2 linked regions of the Danio rerio genome follow. The protein of the gene in region 2 interacts with the protein of the main gene of each other region in a biochemical or structural test. Links are inferred from orthologs where the notes say so. Each region holds a gene or a part of one and is shown on either strand. Other genes may lie near its edges.

Evidence for each region. The genes of interacting proteins can lie anywhere in the genome.
Region 1: the proteins of egln1a (region 2) and fkbp8 form a complex in vitro, tested with the Homo sapiens proteins (2 studies listed by BioGRID, with this or other methods). The link is inferred for Danio rerio from reciprocal best matches to the Homo sapiens genes EGLN1 and FKBP8.

Annotation. Positions count from the first base shown.
Region 1 is NC_133197.1:20,746,163-20,749,820, forward strand, and holds part of fkbp8 (peptidyl-prolyl cis-trans isomerase FKBP8), read right to left. Parts: intron 2,112-3,658; coding exon 1,939-2,111; intron 1,608-1,938; coding exon 1,530-1,607; intron 1-1,529. UniProt on the Homo sapiens protein: Constitutively inactive PPiase, which becomes active when bound to calmodulin and calcium. Seems to act as a chaperone for BCL2, targets it to the mitochondria and modulates its phosphorylation state.
Region 2 is NC_133188.1:52,997,101-53,001,299, reverse strand, and holds the start of egln1a (egl nine homolog 1), read right to left. Parts: upstream 2,939-4,199; 5' UTR 2,733-2,938; coding exon 2,127-2,732; intron 1-2,126. UniProt on the Homo sapiens protein: Cellular oxygen sensor that catalyzes, under normoxic conditions, the post-translational formation of 4-hydroxyproline in hypoxia-inducible factor (HIF) alpha proteins.

The DNA.
Region 1 (3,658 bases), on a different chromosome or scaffold from region 2:
ATTGCCACCCTTCAGAGAAAGACTGAAAATATATGGGAAAAGAATATGGGAAAATACCTTTACAGGATGATAGTGGGATAGAACTTTAAATACGAGAAAGTCCCAGAAAAAACTGGAGGTATGGTAAGTGCGCAAATGCCACTCCCATACACATACACACACTTTATTTTGCTGTTATACTCCATACAAAGTCCAGAAACTAAGCTGTTGTTCACACAGGCCTATCTAAAGGGTTAATGGTGCCAACTGATGATCAACAGTAAAAATGCTAATTTTATGTCTTCCCAACTGGGAAAACCACCAACAATCAAAAATGCATGATTATATGGTGTCACGGTTTTGCAATAAAAAAAAGTGGTTATAATGGAAGTCAATGGGGCAAAAACAGCCACCAACAGTAAATTAGGGAGAAAAAATGGAAAATCATTTAAAAACAATGCATCAAAGTCAATGCTGTTTCACATTCCCAATGTTGTTTTACATGTGATAAAATTTTTAAAAAATCCAGTCCACGATTATTACTTTTTACTTTGAAAATACGTAATTTTGTGTGTTTTCTTCACCAAATCAGTGAGATCATTTGTGAATTTGTCAACTAAAGAGAATCTTGTAATGGTCTAAGCAATTTAGTACTTTTGTTCAGGGCTGAGGTGGATTAACAGATTTATGCAACAGAATAAAAAAAAAAAAAACTTTTTTATTAATTTTTACAGCTGTAAAATTTAGTGGATATTTTCATCCCAAACATAACAAAAGGATAGTCAATTTGCCCATAGTGTTTTATTGAGTTCACTAAAAATTCCAAGGCATTTTGTCATTATGTGACAAAATAAGATGTAAAAAAAAAATCATTCTGCTCGCTGAAACACAAAAAAGTTGTCAAATTAAGACTCAAAATTACCCCAGAGCGGATGAAAACATCCCCAACAGCACATAAGTAAAATAAGATCAAATAAAGAAATAATATTTTAGAAAGGAAATGAGACAAAATAGAAAGAAGACGAAGATAGAATTAAATAAAATAAACAATTAAAGACATAAAAATAATAACAATAACAAAAAAACAATGAAATACAACTTTGATAACAAAAGTGGTACAAAGTAAAAGACAAACACATTAAAATACTGGATAAATTAGGTAAAGATACAAATATAAAAGAAGATGACATACAAAAATAAATAATATATATAGAACTTAAACCAGAGGAAGATTAAAATATGTTAAATAAATTGAGATAAAAGACAATAAGATTAAAGATCTAAAATAAAAGATTAATTAAGATCTCAAAAATAAATAAATATAAAACTAATAACAAGAAAAACACATATAGGATAGAGAAAAATCTGTAAAACAAATCAAGTAAAATAAGATGTGAGATGAAGATATAAACGTAAATAAAAATAAGGTATACATTTAAAAAATTAAAATGAGATCAAACAAAAATATAATAATAATATAAATAAAATAAGATTAAACTATATATATTATAGATAAAAACTAAATCAAATAATTTTGTCACTTCTGTTACCTTATTACTTGGCTCCAACTTCAAAGCCATTTTCAGTGTTTTAATGGCTTCAGCAAACTCTCCCTGCAGAGCCAGGACCTACACACACACACACACACACACACACACACACACACACACACACACACACACACACACACACACACACACACACACACACACACACACACACACACACACACAAACACAAACACACAAACACACAAACACACAAACACACAAAAACACACATCAGCACCTTTTAATCTCAAGACATGCCAGTCAGTGCTAAACTTCCTCTGCTGTGGCCGGAAACCTAAATGCCACTGAATGACCGACCAACCTGCATTTTTGTGTCCAAACTCAGGAAGGCATTACTATTTAATGAGAGTGAGTGAAACCGATCCTCATCTGAACCCAAGAAACTAACCTTGCCTTTGCGGAACAGGGCTTTGACATTGTCCGGCTGGTGCGCCAGAACAGAGACGCAGGAGCGCAGTGCGGCTTCATAGTGGTCAAGCTTAAGCTGAGCAGCCGCCATATTGTTCAGACACTTCACCTTCATGTCCAAAAGTTCCTCTTCTTCTTCTTGACTGATATCCACTGGGTAAAAAAAAAGATTAGCATATGATTGCAGATGTGACCAATAAATTATCTAGCCAATAATTGACAGCAAGCTGAATTATTAGACTATAATGCACATCCAAGGTGGTCACAATAATAATTCATTCCTTTTTTCATTTTCCTTTGGCTTAGTGCCTTATTTATCAGGGGTCAACACAGCAGAATGAACCGACAACTATTCCAGTATATGTTTTACGCAGAGGATGCCCTTCCAGCTGCAACCCAGCACTGGGAAACACCCATACATTCACACACACTCCGAATGGCCAATTTTGCTTACCAAATGACTGTGCAAACACGGGGAGAACATGCAAACTCCACACAGGAATGACAACTAGCCCAGCGGGGACTCGAACCAGCAACCTTCTTGCTGTGAGGCGACAGTGCTAACCACTGAGCCACCGTGCCGCCCTCATAATGATTCCATGAATGTTAATTATTTTGCCTACTACAGTTGAAACACACCTAAAGACGATGTGGCATATTAAAACATCTGTAAGGTTTTGACCTCACAATTCTCCTGTGTTTAGGACTAGTTTCTTACATTTCTAATCTAATGGCTTCTGTTTTGTTTTAAATATAGAGACTTTAGAGATTAATAAAAATTGTTAGATAACTGAAATCGTTCAGAGTAGTGATATGGGACCGTATTGTGGTCAAAACCTGCCTGGAACTACTTTAGCTGTGAGTTTATCTGAAAATAACTGCACATCTCAGAACTTCATTAGTCAACTAGATACACATTTTCAATACCTATAATATAGTGGGTATAATTTAGTATAGTTTATAGTATAAAATAATTTGATATAAACAACATGGGCAACGTATTAAGGAGTAGGGCTGGGCATTAAAATAAACACTGAGAGAGAAAAGCAGCTTAAAATATGAGCCGCAAAATATGCCATGCTGCACTTTGAAACCCATTCATTTCAATGGCTTGCATCAGACAAGGGCGGTTTGTTGCTGCACTGTTGAAAGCCCAAGAACAGCGGAGTGCTCCATCAACTACGCATACACCATGGTCAAAGTTCAAAACAGCCTTATATGCCACAATGTACACGCTTATTTCTCTTTGCATGCTCCTCCTGCTGCTTGCAATAGTGCCACTGCGCTGTCATGGCAACACTGTAAAATGACGCCTCTCAATCACAGGCAATACAATTTTAATGTTAATAAAATGGGGTTATTTAATTGGCTTGTGTTTTTATAAATCAGTATAATATAAAGTTAAATTTAGAATCTTACAAAACTACTTTATATTACATTATAAAATAATAAATCATTATTACAAACCAGATGACGCAGTGGGTAGCACGTACGCCTCACAGCAAGAAGGTCGCTTGTTCGAGCTTCGACTGGGTCAGTTGGCATTTCTGTGTGGAGTTTGCATGTTCTCCCCGTGTTCGTGTGGGTTTCCTCTGGGTGCTCCGGTTTCCCCCACAGTCCAAAGACATGTGGTATAGATGAAATGGGTATGCTAAAATTGACCATAGTGTATGAGGGTGGTGTGTGAATGAGTGGGTATG
Region 2 (4,199 bases):
AAGCCGTTTTTAATTTTTAAAATCCAAATAAAATATTTGTTTTGGATTGTCTACAGAACAAACCACTCATATCCTTGCCTAGTTACCCTAATTAACCTAGTTAAGCCTTTAAATGTCACTTTAAACTGAATACTAGTATCTTGAACAATATCTAGTCAAATATTATTTACTGTCATCATGACAAAGATAAAAGAAATCAGTTATTAGAAATGAGTTATTAAACTATTATGTCTAGAAAATAATCTCCTTCAACTCTACATGTTACTTAAAGGGTCAGTTCACCCAGTGTTTATACTATTTGTGTTCTTACAATGGAAGTTAAAGGGTGCTTTTTTTCAGCACTCTTCAGAATATTTTGTTTTGTGTTCAACAGATAAAAGAAACTCATAAACGTTTACAACCACTTGAGTCTGAATAAATGATGAGTAACTGCATTCAAAATACAATTAAATCCAAAACACTACACTAAAAAGTACTGCAAAACTTGCTGGCAATTTTGGTTGCCAGATTGGTTGCAAAATAGATTTATGGTAACTTACTGACAATTTTGGTTGCCAGTTGCAAAATACATTTACAATAACTTATTGTAACTTAAAACTTTACTGTAACTTACTGATATTTTTGGTTGCCAGTTTGGTTGCAAAAATAATTTATATTAACTTACTGAAATTTTTGGTTGCAAAATACATTTACAGTAACTGATTGTAACTCAAAACTTTACTGTAACTTGCTGACAATTTCTGTTGCCAGATTGGTTGCAAAATACATTTACTGTAAGTTATTGTAACTTAAAGCTTTACTGTACCTTACTGACAAATTTGGTTGCCAGTTTGGTTGCAAAATACATTTACAGTAACTTATTGACAATTTTGGTTGCCAGTTTGGTTACAAAATACACTTACAGTAACTTGCTGGTAATTTTGGTTGCAAAATAAATTTACAATAACTTACTGACAATTTTGGTTGCCAGATTGGTTGCAAAATACATTTACAGTAAATTATTGTAACTTTAAGCTTTACTGTAACTTACTGACAATTTTGGTTGCCAGTTTGGTTACAAAATACATTTATATTAACTTACTGAAATTTTTGGTTGCAAAATACCTTTACAGTAACTGATTGTAACAAAACTTTACTGTCACTTGCTGACAATTTTTTTTTACCAGATTGGTTGCAAAATACATTTACAGTAACTTACTGTAACTCAAAACTTTACTGTAACTTGCTGACAATTTTTGTTGCCAGATTGGTTGCAAAATACCTTTACAGTAAATTATTGTAACTTAAAGCTTTTCTGTAACTTACTGACAATTTTGGTGGCAGTTTGGTTGCAAAATACATTTACAGTAAGGTATTGACAATTTTGGTTGCCAGTTTGGTTATAAAATACACTTACAGTAACTTGTTGGTAATTTTGGTTGCAAAATACATTTACAATAACTTACTGGCAATTTTGGTTGCCAGTTTGGTTGCAAAATACATTTATGGTAACTTTCTGACAAATTTGGTTGCCAGTTGCAAAATACATTTATAGTAACTTATTGTAACTTAAAACTTTACTGTAACTTACTGACAATTTTTTTTTTTTTTTTTTTTTTTTGCCAGATTGGTTGCAAAATAAATTTATAGTAATGTACTGAAATTTTTGGTTGCAGGTTTGGTTGCAAAATAAATTTACAATAACTTACTGACAATTTTGGTTGCCAGTTGAAAATGAAATTGTCCTCATCATTTATTCAGACTCAAGTGGTTGTAAACTTTTATGAGTTTCTTTCATCTGTTGAACACAAAGCAAGTTATTCTGAAGAGTGCTGAAAAATTATTTCATATATTAACTATGGCACCTAATATTAACTTAGTAACTGTAATGAATGTGACTTTTCCGATTTTAATATGCTAACTAAAATTTTAAAATTCAATTACATTTAATTAGGTTGAAACATTTGTTTACTCTGAACATTTGATAAACCGTTTTTTTTTATCATACCTGTTCATCACTTATTATTATTCACCTATTGTGATAATACTGTACATGAAAAGCTTCATCAATTCTCTAAAACATGCACATTTGACATCACCATAACCCTAAAATACAGCATGCACACAGTTGACAGACAGATACTTACTTTAGTCCTTCCATTAATTATGTAGTTTCCCAGTTTCCCATTGCAATTCCTGACCAGGTCATCCATGCGGCTCATCAAGAAGCAGATTTTCTCGCATCCAGGCTCCTTCCCCTCAATCCAGGTGATTTTATCCCCCCGTATGTCCTTCGAAGAGTCACTTTTCTGACTGACCAGCTGACCGTCAGTGAATTTACCCGTCTGATGAAGAGCCTTCACATCCTCCAAAATGGACAGTCCCATGTCTTCCCCCAGAAAGTTGTCCACCACACAGATGCCATGCTTGTTCATACATGGGATTATATAATCGGTGGCCAGCTTCTGTGTGTGGGGTTTGGCTTTCAGATCAGCTTCTGAGCTGCAGATCAGGTTGTTTTTCTCTGGATGGGCAGTTTTGGGGTGCTGTTGTTGGGTTTGGGGCACAGTGTTGTGTTTGTCAGCCTCTCTGCAGGTGAGTTTGTGCTTTTTCCAGTGCTCCTTTTGATGCTCTTTGCTGCAGTAAAATGAGATCCTGCACCTACCGCATTTTAGCAGGTTTTCCATCTTCCCACACAGCTCGCAGTACTGCTTATCCCCGTCGGGATCCAGAACTGTCGGGCACTTCTCCATGTCACCGACCCTTTAAATCCGGTGCTTCCACCGGTCAACTTTCACGCACAACGCGTCAGCATCAACATATACGAACGAACAACCGCGTCCGTTCATCACGGTAAGATATTCCCGTTAAATAAACCACAGGGGTCGGGATCGACACCGTGCAGCGCGCGCGCTCCATCCCGCTGCGCTCTCCTCTACAAGCGCGTGGCTGTGTTGCTCTGCGTTCTGCACGTCGCAAGTACAAACCAAACCTCTGACGTCACTGAGGGAGGGCGTGGTTACAGATGTGACATGATAAATACGCCCCGCCTCGCTTCATTCACATTTCACACACTACTGAAGGCGGGAGAAGAAGGGAGTTTGTGTGTTTTGAGAAACATCTGTCATACTCAGAAGGATCTTAAAAATATTAATGTCTTTGTTAGTAGTAAGGAGGTCTAATTGGTAAGGATTTAGAGTACTAAAGCTAAAGCTGAAGGTTTTAGTTATGCTCAGAGGGGGTTTAAGAGAATCGGATTCAGTTGCTTTTGTGAGCTGTGATTAAAATGACAAGATAACTTTAAATGACATATGCCTATATATTATTACCTAAAATGTTTAAATAGTTTATCTCATAGATTACCCTAAAGGTACAAAAGTATATATATATATATATATATATATATATATATATATATATATATATATATATATATATATATATATATATATATATATATATACACACACACACACAAATACATATATACATATACATATATATATGTATATTTATATATATATACATACATACGTATATATACATATATATATGTATATGTATATATACGTATGTATTAAGGGTGGAGCCGAACCCGAATACGGTATTCGGAAAGGCACGAATAGCGTGTTTTTACGAATACTTGATTCGAACAAATACTTGAAATATTATTTGTATTCGGGAGCAAGGAAAACACTATATCAAAAATCAGCGTTTCCTCATGAGACCACAGTGCATGCCCGCGTGAGTGAGTGAGTGAGTGAGTGAGAAAGAGAGAGAGAGAGAGAGAGAGAGAGAGAGAGAGACGCTCAGTGCAAAACGCGCCAAAGCCCGAAACTGAAAGAGACACGTGACTTTTAAGGGGTTGTTTCATATGGATTTATTAATCATTCTTACTGTTCAGTGATCACAAACTGCCGTAGTTTATTAAAGACACAAATCTCTCACTGCACGACAGCTGCGCGCCTTCAGCAGACCTCCTCATTCCTGCAGCACGAGAGCTTTATGATTGTTTATGCGCGCCAAAAGTGGCGGATCTGTCCGGTAAAATATCTGACTGCGTTTTACCGCATCCCTAAGGACTGTTTGGCGAAATATTTGACTGCATGTCACTGCATAACAAACCACTGAAAGGATATAACTTTAGAACTCATCAGAGCAGGCAACGTTTCTCCAATCTTCTATTGTCCAGTTTTGGTGAGCCTGTGTGAATTGTAGCC